Linked DNA regions of Schizosaccharomyces pombe. Each later gene encodes a partner of the first gene's protein in a complex. Each region holds a gene or a part of one and is shown in the gene's direction. Other genes may lie near its edges.

Evidence for each region.
Region 2: the proteins of clr2 (region 1) and clr1 are in contact, whole or in part, in a crystal structure (PDB 5IKJ), measured with the Schizosaccharomyces pombe proteins. Residues at the interface, in NP_594802.1 of Schizosaccharomyces pombe: Met1 (codon at 2,709), Pro2 (codon at 2,712), Ala3 (codon at 2,715), Ile4 (codon at 2,718), Thr5 (codon at 2,721), Cys6 (codon at 2,724), Val7 (codon at 2,727), Trp8 (codon at 2,730), Leu52 (codon at 2,862), Val56 (codon at 2,874), Phe57 (codon at 2,877), Gly61 (codon at 2,889), Thr63 (codon at 2,895), Ile122 (codon at 3,072), Leu124 (codon at 3,078), Tyr131 (codon at 3,099), Leu182 (codon at 3,252), Ile183 (codon at 3,255), Ser184 (codon at 3,258), Asp185 (codon at 3,261), Leu186 (codon at 3,264), Lys211 (codon at 3,339), Glu212 (codon at 3,342), Arg215 (codon at 3,351), Met216 (codon at 3,354), Phe217 (codon at 3,357), Glu219 (codon at 3,363), Cys220 (codon at 3,366), Lys221 (codon at 3,369), Thr224 (codon at 3,378); in NP_596236.1 of Schizosaccharomyces pombe: Lys1164 (codon at 5,462), Ile1167 (codon at 5,471), Ala1170 (codon at 5,480), Leu1171 (codon at 5,483), Lys1173 (codon at 5,489), Arg1174 (codon at 5,492), Asn1175 (codon at 5,495), Val1176 (codon at 5,498), Tyr1177 (codon at 5,501), Lys1178 (codon at 5,504), Ser1179 (codon at 5,507), Phe1180 (codon at 5,510), Ala1181 (codon at 5,513), Gly1182 (codon at 5,516), Leu1183 (codon at 5,519), Tyr1184 (codon at 5,522), Asp1185 (codon at 5,525), Asn1200 (codon at 5,570), Tyr1201 (codon at 5,573), Ala1202 (codon at 5,576), Arg1203 (codon at 5,579), Val1204 (codon at 5,582), Gly1205 (codon at 5,585), Arg1206 (codon at 5,588), His1207 (codon at 5,591), Gly1208 (codon at 5,594), Ser1209 (codon at 5,597), Phe1210 (codon at 5,600), Ile1211 (codon at 5,603), Leu1212 (codon at 5,606).

The regions. Positions count from the first base shown.
Region 1 is NC_003424.3:4,962,568-4,967,480, forward strand, and holds clr2 (SHREC complex subunit Clr2), read left to right. Parts: upstream 1-1,925; 5' UTR 1,926-2,708; coding exon 2,709-4,322; 3' UTR 4,323-4,413; downstream 4,414-4,913. Other genes in the region: mrps18 (putative mitochondrial ribosomal protein subunit S18), read right to left, coding at 4,656-4,913. UniProt on the Schizosaccharomyces pombe protein: Required for deacetylation in the mating-type region and the centromere. Acts upstream of the histone deacetylases to promote transcriptional silencing.
Region 2 is NC_003423.3:2,995,266-3,001,939, forward strand, and holds clr1 (SHREC complex intermodule linker subunit Clr1), read left to right. Parts: upstream 1-1,825; 5' UTR 1,826-1,972; coding exon 1,973-5,689; 3' UTR 5,690-5,871; downstream 5,872-6,674. Other genes in the region: peptidyl-tRNA hydrolase Pth1, read right to left, coding at 59-232, 269-314, 354-658, 706-801; protein mhf1, read left to right, coding at 1,187-1,198, 1,244-1,422, 1,473-1,614; ABC1 kinase family ubiquinone biosynthesis ATPase Coq8, read left to right, coding at 6,096-6,674. UniProt on the Schizosaccharomyces pombe protein: Regulates silencing of the mat2 and mat3 loci. Organizes the chromatin structure of the mating-type region where it also participates in establishing the 'cold spot' for recombination.

The DNA.
Region 1 (4,913 bases):
ATTGCTCGTTTCGAATGTGCTTGCAAAAATAACAGAAATCGTAGGGAGCATCTCGGATGAATTCAAAAGATCACTAATGAAACCTTGTGGATTTTTTTTAGCGATCAGCGATTAGTAAACTTTGTGGGAATCGCCAGTTTCGTCAAAAACTACTAAATGTTAAAAGAGTGTATGGAAAAAAATTTCACTGTTGGAAAAACTAACGGGATTATGCTTAAAACGATGAGAAAAATGCAATACCCACACTTGACTTGTAAACTCATTCATTGCAATATACGTTTGCTTATTTGTTGGTGCCTGGAAAACAAAAGAGAAATTAATAACCTAAATTTAAAAAATAAAATAGAAAAAGGAACGTTACATAATACAGATGACTAGTTTTCTGTGTAAAAACAATAAAATAAAAAATAATGGTAATTAATAAATAATACAATTTTGGATATTGATCGTCATTCTAGTTACTATTTGGAATAGGAATAAAAATAAAAAAGAAAATTTTTATTTGAAGAAATAATCTAACTGTCAGTATCTAGCGATTTATAATTTATATCTAATCATGGTTTAGTACAGTTTTTTTCACATAGTAATAAAGGATTGGTAATATTTAAGCAGTGATAATAACTATTTATTTAATTGTTCGATGTTTTATTTGCAAAAACTTTACGTATCGTAAATATTAAAAATTGATTTGTGTTGTATTTTAAGCAGCCCAATTGACTCACAAATTTTAAAGATCGTATAAAATGCTTTTATAAATTACTTTTTATATTCTTTTAGATCTGTCAAAACTAGTAACGTAAAGTATTTGTAGATAAAAATTGAGACACGAGTTTTTATATTTTAATCATACCCATATCTGTTGATTTCAAATCATTATTTCTTTTTTTTATTAGTTAGCAAATAAAATTATAAACATTACATTTATGATTGAAACAATGATCTATCAGATGTCGAAGCAGATGCTGATGTATACAAAGCTAAATGTTTATGCTAGAAATACTTTCTTTAGGATTCGTAGAATCTGATGAAATATATTGTAGATATTGTAACAAGACTATTTTTAAAATTTCATTTACTTTACTGTATGAGAACATATCAAAGCATTCCAACAAATTATTTGCGTTTCATTTTTTTTGTTTCAAACTTGGGAACATTTCAAAATAACCTTTTTTGAACTATCGTAATTCAAATTTGTATGTAAAATCACAAATACTGTTTCTAAGTCTTTAATGCTTCAAATTTCCGATTGAAAGTTCTAATCACCTAACTTATTCTAAAAAATCGTTATACCGATATATGATTGATATATATATATATATAATTTTTTTTTTTCAATTTATACTACTGACGAAGTCATGTTTCCATGTCCATCCAAGACTTCGATAAAAAGAGTTGATATTTTTATAAACTATTAACTCTTTTAATTCACTTGTAAAAAGTCATGTTAAAAAAGTTGTTCGTTGTAAGACATTTGCTATATTCTTTATAAAATTAATATTATAGCTTTATATTATATAACGATACTAATTTAGTTATATCGTTGAAAATTCGTCTGAGAAAAATCCATATTCTGGCTAATCTAACATATAATCCAAGTATTTTATTGGCAAATATTTCAATTTATTGAAATTTGTTTTTGCTAACTGAACCAAACAACTAAAATATAGTTTACGTCGATTACTCAAATTTTTCTGGGAGTGGTGGTTCGTTCACATATCCTTCATATTATCGACGTATTTTGATTCCATACACTCCAACATTTTCTAAGTTTTTTTAACTCTTTTTTCTTCCATTGGAATATCAGTCTGCCGCTCACTGCTCTCGTATATTTGTAGAGTGATTCTTCTTAACAAGTGGTCAGTGGAACGAGTAACGTGTTCCTCATTGCTCAATGGGATCGCCAGGATTAACTTCATGAATTAGCTATAAACAGACGCAACGCCATTAAGCATTGCTCTTCTTCATCCACGAAAACTGGAAGTCGCTTTGCTTTTATACCTCATTTATCTTTTAAAATATAACGTATCTTATAAGCGCATTTTGGTGATTTCTTTCTTTTCGCTGGTTCATTGCTACTCAACTGTAAGCTGTTGCTTGATCGAACTCGAGACGTTATTAATTGTTCTAAAGAAAATACCTGTCGCTATTTCCCTTCATCTACAAGCGTAGGAGGGTGTTTTTCAGTAATCTTCCTTGGGACATCTAGCCTGAAAAGAGTGAAGTTTTTCGATTGCTATTCGTTTCAACCCCAAATTATACTGAAGATACTAATAATTTGTCTCTCCATGGCCTTGGAGTCATCTCGTTTCGCTATTGTCGGACTTCTTTACAACGAACACAGAATTGTCGTATTCTCTTTAGATTTTTTCTAAACGATATTGGCAAAAAAATAAACAACAATAACCTAAATATTTATTTTCTTTCGCCCCTTGAGCCAGTTTATTTTCATCTGTGGTTTTTGTACATCCAGGACATATCAAGTTGAGTTGTTTGATTGGTTCGAAAAAACAAAGTTTTGCTTACGTTCAAATCGCTTTTTGCACACATTCATAAAATATCGCAATATCCTCGTTTCACGAGATCCGAAAAAATATTTGCTTCGTTTTCTGTTCTTTTTAACTCTTTGCGTCAATTTTCCGCTACACAAAATAATTTGCATACTTCTTTTGTTCCGTTATAACTTCAGCTATTGTCATTTTTAGTAGCTAATGCCTGCTATTACTTGTGTTTGGTCCGATGGGCGCTCTGATACATGGCCTAATGTAAATGGTCATAGCAGAACAAGATCCGTCCCTTCGTTAAAGCCACTACCACATCAAGACAGTAAAAATTTACTTTACCGCCAGATATGCGGTCGTTTACTTGCCCAGCATGTTTTCGGTGGTGCCGGCTCAACCCAACCTATTCTCAACCAACTTTGTAAAAGATTGTCCACCGGTAATCCCAATAATACCAATGCGTCCACTGTTGTTACAGCCCCCGAAAAAAATGTGGTCTCTGCTAGACATGTTCGACCAAATCCAAAATCTTCCAAGGACACCTTGGAAAAACAACCTAAATATTCTTCACAAATATACCTTACCGACAGTTTTGAAAATTATTATCTTGCCTCTTTACCCACCAATTACCAGCTATATCAGCGTGATTCAAACCGTGAAAATGGCAATGGTAAACGTGAATTTTGGCTTTATGGCCATCCCAGTGGTCGACCATTTCGATCAGTTAATGATTTCCTTCATCATTTGTATTGGCTTATATCAGATTTGACCCGTAACGAGTCTACCTGCTGTTGCGTTCTGTGTTCTGGTAATATGACGCGTGTACGCAAAAATCTCCAAAAAGAAAATGAACGGATGTTCCATGAATGTAAGGATGATACATACACCTGGCCTTCTTCGTATCGCCTTGGCGAAGTGGTATGGATTGACATAAATAATGAGCTCATTCCAGCAATTATAGTGGCTCGGAACTTAATAAACTATGAAAGTAACCAGATGGATGCTGTCAAATTAATATCTGATACTTTTGTGGAACCATATCAATACCATTGCAAACAATTAGGCAACTCTCGTTATTACTTTGACATGGCAGCTGCAGATATTGAGCCTTGGTCCCGGCATCCACTCGATTTACAAAAACAAGAACATCTAGTTGCTCATTCTATATGTCAAACGTGGAACCTATTTGGTATCTTCCAGCCACTAGAAGGTATAGATATGGAAGAACCAAAGTTCCACGACGAAAATTATTCCATCCCTCTCACAGTTTTACCAACCTTTGGGGGTGAATCAAATAGTTTAGATGATCATTTTTACGGAATTTTCCGTGGAGCCGAAAAACTATGGATTAATGATTTATGTGTTATATCCACATCTTCACTGCCATCTGTACTTCAAAAAACAAGTTTTATGTACATATCTGATATTTATGTAAACGAAGATGACATTGTCTGTTTCCAAGGCTCACTATGGACACAAATTGACAAAAATGCACTCGATTATAATGACAGCGCTGACAATATTGATGAACATAAGGATGACTTAAAAGAATTACCAAGAAGATTACAAATGGTATCAAAACTATCAAACACATATTTTCGTTGCCTGCATGATAAATCTGTCGAGTACGTCTGCCCATTCGCAGATGTTTTGGGAAGATGGTATGAGCCTTGGTTCGTAAAAGGAGATTTAAATTACACTTCAGAAGTGAAAGAACGCACATCCAGTCGATTATCAGCAGTAGGCTCTGAAAATTGGGTCGATGACGATTTTTATGAATATTTACTGTCTGAAATTGATATGGTGTCAGCAGTTGTAATGTAATAAGTATGGCAGATAAAATTAGATATAGAAGTGTCTACTTATTGATCAGTGACGGTCATTATTTATAATGTAAATAATATGGGAATAATAATGTCTTTTGCATTTCATAAATTACAGAGAAAGATAGGTAAAAACTATTTGTGTTGAATTAGAGATGGGATATAGTTTTTTTTAAGAAATCATGTTGCACTATCACACCGGTATTAATAAATCATTTCTAAGTTCAGAAGGTCAAATACAACGGTGGAAAAGCACCAACAATGTTGGGCAGCAGATTAACTGCACAGGAAGATTACGTAAACGAAGAAAACAGAAAAGTAATATAAACATACTTCATATGCGTCGCTCCCTTCTACCTCTCGGTCCTCCAAATTTAATAGGTGTTCGATCCATAACCTTTACAATTTTGTCTCGAATTACGGCACCTTCTTGCCCTAATAAACAATTTTGTACTGCTTCCCTGGCCTGACTAAAACCATGAAATATAACATGCAAATTTTCAATACCAAGGCGCTTTACTTGGATTTGTTCCAGCACCTTGGAGCAAATGGTATAAGCAGCATCGTAGCCACGGCGCTTTCCTTTACGAAA
Region 2 (6,674 bases), on another chromosome or scaffold:
TAATCAACAATCAATTTTACAAGGAACAACCCGCAATGAGTTAAGCTTAACTTAGTCCCTATGTTTCAATTGAAAGTTGTAATTGTTGAAGAATGTTGCAAAACTTATGGAATATATCAGTTTCAATTAGTTTCATTTCATTAGAGTTGAATTTACTCAAAACATAATCTGAAACGTCCTCCCTATTCCTTGACTCACAACGTCCAATTCCCAATCCAATCCTGTAAAAACTCTTTGAATTAGTAATGAAATTAAATGTGTACCTTACTTCTTTTCCTAGGAATTCTTGACAAGAGCGAATCCCATTGTGTCCCCTAGCAATGTTAATAAGTATTGCTTTGGATATTACTTACCTGTGAGAGCCTCCGGGCAAACGAAGCTTGACTTTGCCTAAATCTAACTCCAATTCGTCATGCACAACTACATATACGATTTTGTCTAATGGCGAAACTTTGCGCACAAAATCATTAGATATCTTTTTCAACTGTTTCCCGGAATCATTCATGTATGAGGTGGACAAAACCAAGGTGAGATTTTCTTTGGTACTAGGCCAATTTTTTGGAAATGCCATGCTGTCAGCGTACATACTCACCATTAATTTCCCCAGTGAGTGTCTCGATTTGACGAACGCTGATCCTGGATTTCCTAAACCATAGATCTTTCGGATTAGTATCCCATTTTGGAAAGACTTTTACGGATCATAACAATTTTTATAGAAACTCTTCTTTTAAGGTCGCAATGGTTAACTTCTGCTTTGTTTTTCCTGGCAATTAAAATCTTAGGAAGATGTTTTATTGCCATACGGAACTTTGGTACTTATTTTAAAAAAAATTTTTTTTGATTGAAAAAAAGCTTTAGCATCCTCAACAGAATTTTCAACTTACCAAGAATTGTGTTTGCACCATGGACTTTTTTCTGAGAAAATTTTTATTTAGGCACAAGGTTTTATTAAGATTAATAAATACTTTCCAACTGATTGGTTTTGGCCTACTCTTTGGTATTTAGCACGGTTAGCTCCCCACGAAAATAATATTTTAGTTTAGATTAATAAAACAATGTTTCAAACTACGAAGAAACTTGGAAACCACCTATTTCATGTTTTAGCCATTTAATTATAAGGAGACTACTTATCTTAACTTTTAGTAACGTATTATTACGAAAATTAATAAAAAGTAATCAAAGTTATATGATGGAGGAGGTAATAATGCATTTTAATATAGGTATTGGCTAACTGGTATTCTAGGAGAGATTCAAAGCAGAGATTTTTCACGTTACACAAGAAGTTTGTAATCGTACAGCTTCTGAATTAACTGAATCAGAGTCAAGAAATGTCATTGTAGATGAGCTTTTTTGTGTTGGAGTTACCGAAATGGTTTGGGAACAAATACGTGTATTAGCTAAAGACATTGAGGCTTTTGCAGAGTACGCTCTTGATGGAAATAAATATTTTAATCTTATTAACAAAATAATAGACATGCAGGACGGAAAACGGTTCAACCACAGGATGTGCTTTTATGTTGTCGAAGAAATGAAGGATTATATGAGATTATCAATAATTTTCACAAAGAATCGATCAAATCTAAAAAGAAAAAGAAAGAAAACAGTACAACATAATGCACATCCATTGTGGGTACAGTGATTATAGCTCATTTTCAACGCTGTGTTATCGTTAATAACTTTCTATTACATAGATTGACCATTGTCAAGACTTATTATTAGTTCTTTTTTATTTAATGTTATTCTTTGTTGTAACAAATTTCCCCGTTTTTTGATATCTTAGTGTGCATCCCCGGCTATTCTTTCCTTCCCGTCGTAGTTCACTTCATCAATAGCAGCAGCACCACAATAAATAGTGCGAACAGTAATTCGAAGGGCTGGTCCCAAGGAATTCCACCTTTTGGAATTTAATTAATGGTAATAAATACTTTTTGTCACATTTAAAGACACAACTGCATGCAATTCGTTGTTAGATATGGCGGAACCTGATATCAGTTCTTCAGAGACATTGACAGAATTGCAACAACTCAGACTCCTATATTTTTTCTGCTTTTATCATGCTGCTCCATTCAATGTGAAAACTCTGGTTCATTCACTTATTCCACCTGGCGCTTTATCATATTTATTGTCGACGTATGATATTTTGCGTCCATGGTTGATGGCTTTACGAGTCAGGGAGGGTCCAGTCAACGATATATCTACAATTGTTCAATTGTATGAGGAAATTGTAAAAACTGGGTTCTTCATTAATCCCCCTCCATTCGAATCGTACTCACAGACATTAGTAGCTCGGATAACTACTTTGGGTCGCCCAAAGCTACAGGTGCAACAGGAAGCTCAATCTGAAGTTTATCAACGGGCTTCAACAAATACACAACAACAAGTCTCCAATGTATCTCATGGTAATTTCAAACCCAATTCTTCGGTAAATACAGAACCTAACACTTCAATTTTATCAAATTCTAAATATGCTGGTATTAAACCATTCGACTTTCAGAGTTCATCACAAAATCCTGGATTGGTTTGCGAACAAAAAACATTTTATCAGCATCAATTTCGTCCTTTTTCTAATCTCCCATCTAATAAGTCTAGCCCGGTTAAACACGTATCTCCAAATGTCAAAAATAATTCAAAGAAAACTGCTTCCTCAGTCAACTCTAATCATTCTTCTATTCCGTCTTCTATAACTAAGTCCAATATATCTTCTTTAGATGTGTATGGTTCAGAAAAGCTTATTTCCTCGGGAAGCCAACAGCCAGGGCATGGTATGGTGCAAACAACTTCCGATAAAGTTAACGCGTCAGCATCTCTTTATGACCGCTCACCTTCAAAAAAAGATATCACAAGTTCCCGTAATACGTCTTCTTATAATCTTGGAAGTATGCGAAACCCTTCAACCTTAAAAAATGCAGCTCATGCAAACCCTTTTGAAGGACTGCGTTTCCAAGGCTCTTCAGCAGTGCTTAAAGAGGGGCTTAACTCTACTGTTAAGAAAACATTTTTTGATAATTTAAACTCTGAAAAGGTGTGTCCATCTGTTTCTCCGTTTTTAACACCTGATAATATTGCATCCTCAATCCTATACTCTACAGCGTCTTTCTCTCGATCAAAACCTGATAGACCGAGACTTAATTTATCATTGGAGCTAAAGCTAATGCAAAACGAACTAAATAAAGGTCAATTGAAAAAACAATTCAAAGGCGATTTGCGTAACCTGGCCGATTGGAATAATCTTTCGTTAGTGTCCTCGAAGTTCCCTTCATTGCCAATTACTAACCTGCGACCGGATGGCTCTTTTTTGAAACATAGGCGGTTTAATGAAGAGATTGCTTACAACCGCCAAACTCTTGAAAAAGCTATAAAACAGCTAGACTTATCTCCTGATAAAGTCATTCAACTTCGTGAACAAAATGGTGTTGCAGTTAACGGACGTGTATGCTATCCTACGAGAAATAAACACTCGGAAATCTCTGCTCAATCAAGCTCTTCGTTAGGAGTTACTAAATCTCTGGCGTCGGAAGTGTATTCCTCTTCAACTGTCGACACCATTAGTAAACTTAATACTGATAAGGATAATTATTTGATTAAAAGCAAAAAGGAACCAATACAACAAAAATCTGTTAGCTCGGAAACTACTTTGGTGAAACCGTCATCAACTTCTTCCTACATTGACACAACTAACAATGTCTTGAAAACGAATTCTAGTTTTAAGTCGTCTGGTTTGACAAGTGGGCCTAGAAATGAAAAGGAATTATTGCCTGAGGGAATTCCGACATCTCATAATAATTCTGAAACTCAAGCTCAAACAGCTGACGTATCAAACATAGCAGCTTCCGCCGATGGAATATATAATTCTGATCAGGAAAAACCTCCTGAGAAGCTGGACGTTACAAAGAGAGCTTTTGGACGTGAAATAGAAAATTCGAATGAAAAAGAATTATTGACTAGCACATTTTTAAGTCCTTCTGCAGAATCTCAGGTTTGTCTTGCAGAAATAAAAACCATACGTCCGGGATTGGTTCCTAAAAAGCAGTTTTCTGTGGATCAAAATAATGTAATAAGTGACAATACGGACTGTTCGCTTCCTAAACCATCTAACTCTAAGCTCTCCAGTATTAGTAGCGATGGGGATGCTTCTAGCAATCGAATGGCTGTACCCGATAAGTCTCCTTTTGTTCATGCTGCACCAAATTCTAAAGCATTGACGAAGGATAGTTTTTCTACTCACATTAGCGTTTCATCTCTTCTTCATAGTGACAACGAGATTTCTCCTATCGATTCAACTCGTAAAGATTACTTTACTTCAAAGGACAGCAATCTTCAGACTCTTAAAGAAGATGCGTCTTCAACAAAACAGGCTAAAGATTCTGGTACTAATGATTTTGACAAACTGATATCTGGCAATGATGTATCTAAAAACAATTCTGGCGAAGAACAAAGCAGAAGCGCATTGAAGCCACTAATTTCTGGGAAACTATCAAGTTGTGAGTCGATCAACTTAACCAAGGATATTTCAACTGTTAAGCGCAAAGAGTATTTTGGAATTGAATCGACGTCCTCAAAACAACCTTTCCATGATACTGGTTCAATTAAAATCCCAGCAAAAAGATCTTTTGATACCATTGATAAAGATTTTAGAAGTTCTAATATTCCATTTGCCGACAAAATTAAAGAGGACGGTGGAGATAAAAATGTGATTTCCTCAATTCATATTACAACTGAGCTTCCTAAATCAATGCCCGTTGAAGTACCTACTAATGCTGGTGCTCAAAGCGATCAAAGCAATGTCGTTGACTCCGAGTCTTTGAATTTGCGTGAGAATATTTCTACGAGCGTTGCTGACGTGAGCCTTAGTCAAGCAGGGAACGAAGCAGTGCTTAGTAAAAAGGCTTGTAAACCGCTTGTGTTAATTGACCCCTTTGAGGAGAAAGTACTTAAAGCCTTTAACATGTTGAGTAAAGGTTATGCTGAATACCGTTGTCAATGGGAGGGTTGTTTAGCCAATCTTCATTCGTTGGAAAATTTTATAAAACACGTTTTATTGTTACATCATCCGAAAAGTTGTTCTGTGGTTAAATGCCTATGGGCTTCGTGTGATATGGTTTTGCCATCAGAAGAGTTTGAAATGCATTTGCGCGGCCATTTGAACAACATCCGGCTTAATTGTGAAGTTTCTAACTGTAAAAAGTGCTTTTCTAATTATGAAGATATGTTCAAACATTTGCAGCATTCACATTTACCTTTCAAGTTCACACCAGAGTCTTTCATTAAAATTCGAAATGGCAATGTCAAAGAAGAAGCACGTCGTACAAGAAATGCTTACACACAGAAGTCTGGTGAAGTAGAATGTTTTATGGAAACTTGTACACCGATAGCTAAACCTGCTCCTGCGAATTGGTATCCGGTTCCTCCACCTGGTTTTAACTCATCTTTACTTTCCAGACTAACCCAAAGCAATCAGTCTAAAGATAAAATTATAGCTGCTTTAGCTAAGAGGAATGTTTATAAATCATTTGCGGGTTTGTACGATAGTAAAGGTAAAAATGATAATACTGGGTACGATTTTGATTCAAATTATGCCCGGGTTGGTCGTCATGGTTCTTTTATTTTACCTGTCAGCAAAAGTGTCCCTACTCCATCCTTGCTAATCGAAGGGTCTATTGTGCAACGTAAAAATATAAAAATAGAATGATCCGTCTTTGTACGTTACAAGCGTGATCTCAACAATTATTTTCTTAATTATGGTTTAATCCAACTGGCGTGAATCTCTCTGAACAAACATCTTATGTCTTTTATTTATATAGTTATTGTATGTAAAGTAAATATAAAAAATTATTGATTGTCCTTAATTTACTGTACACGCGTCCCTTCAAGTACATACATATGGTTCGATTGCTTAACTGAAGTAACCGCCGCTAGGAACCATCATAAACTTTTATCATTTTTGGATTCATAAAACCATTATAACAGTGGCTAGTTAATGAAAATAATCAAATGTCTGGTTTTTGAAATAAATAAATTCACTTGAAAGCCCTTCCATTCGAAATTGAAGCACTTTTTATTCCAAGGCTTATTTTTCTCTTATTTAATCAGAACAAATGGCTAATTCAGGGCTTTGGGAACTTATAACAATAGGATCCGCAGTTCGAAATGTTGCCAAATCATATTTAAAGGCTGAAGCTTCGTCAATTACAGCAAAACAACTGTATGATGCATCGAAAATAACCAGTTCGAAAAGGTCCACAAGTGACCTGCACGTTCAATTATTGGAGAAATACAGAAACGGTAAAGTCAAACATGCTTCCCAAATAAAAGAATTGGGGTTATCTTCTAAAGATACGAAACGAACGCTTTTGGGAAATTCTTTAGATGTTCAGAAAGATGCCTCCGGTGTCAAACATTTGCAGGAGCAATCTTCTAAAGAAATAAAAAATCCTATTTCGCAACCGATTTTACCAAATAAAAAAGATGAAATAAGTCCTGCTAAACCTTCAGCGATTGATTCTAGTATTAAAGACGTAACAAAATCACACCCTGCAACGAATGCCAATTTTACAGCAGACTTTGAATCCTCTATTGAAGAAAGCTACTCTACTGAGAATAAGTCTCCGGTTATACTTTCCTCTTCTAAAGTTCCTTCGTCCCAATGGAGTCGTCTATGGCATTACGGAGGCCTT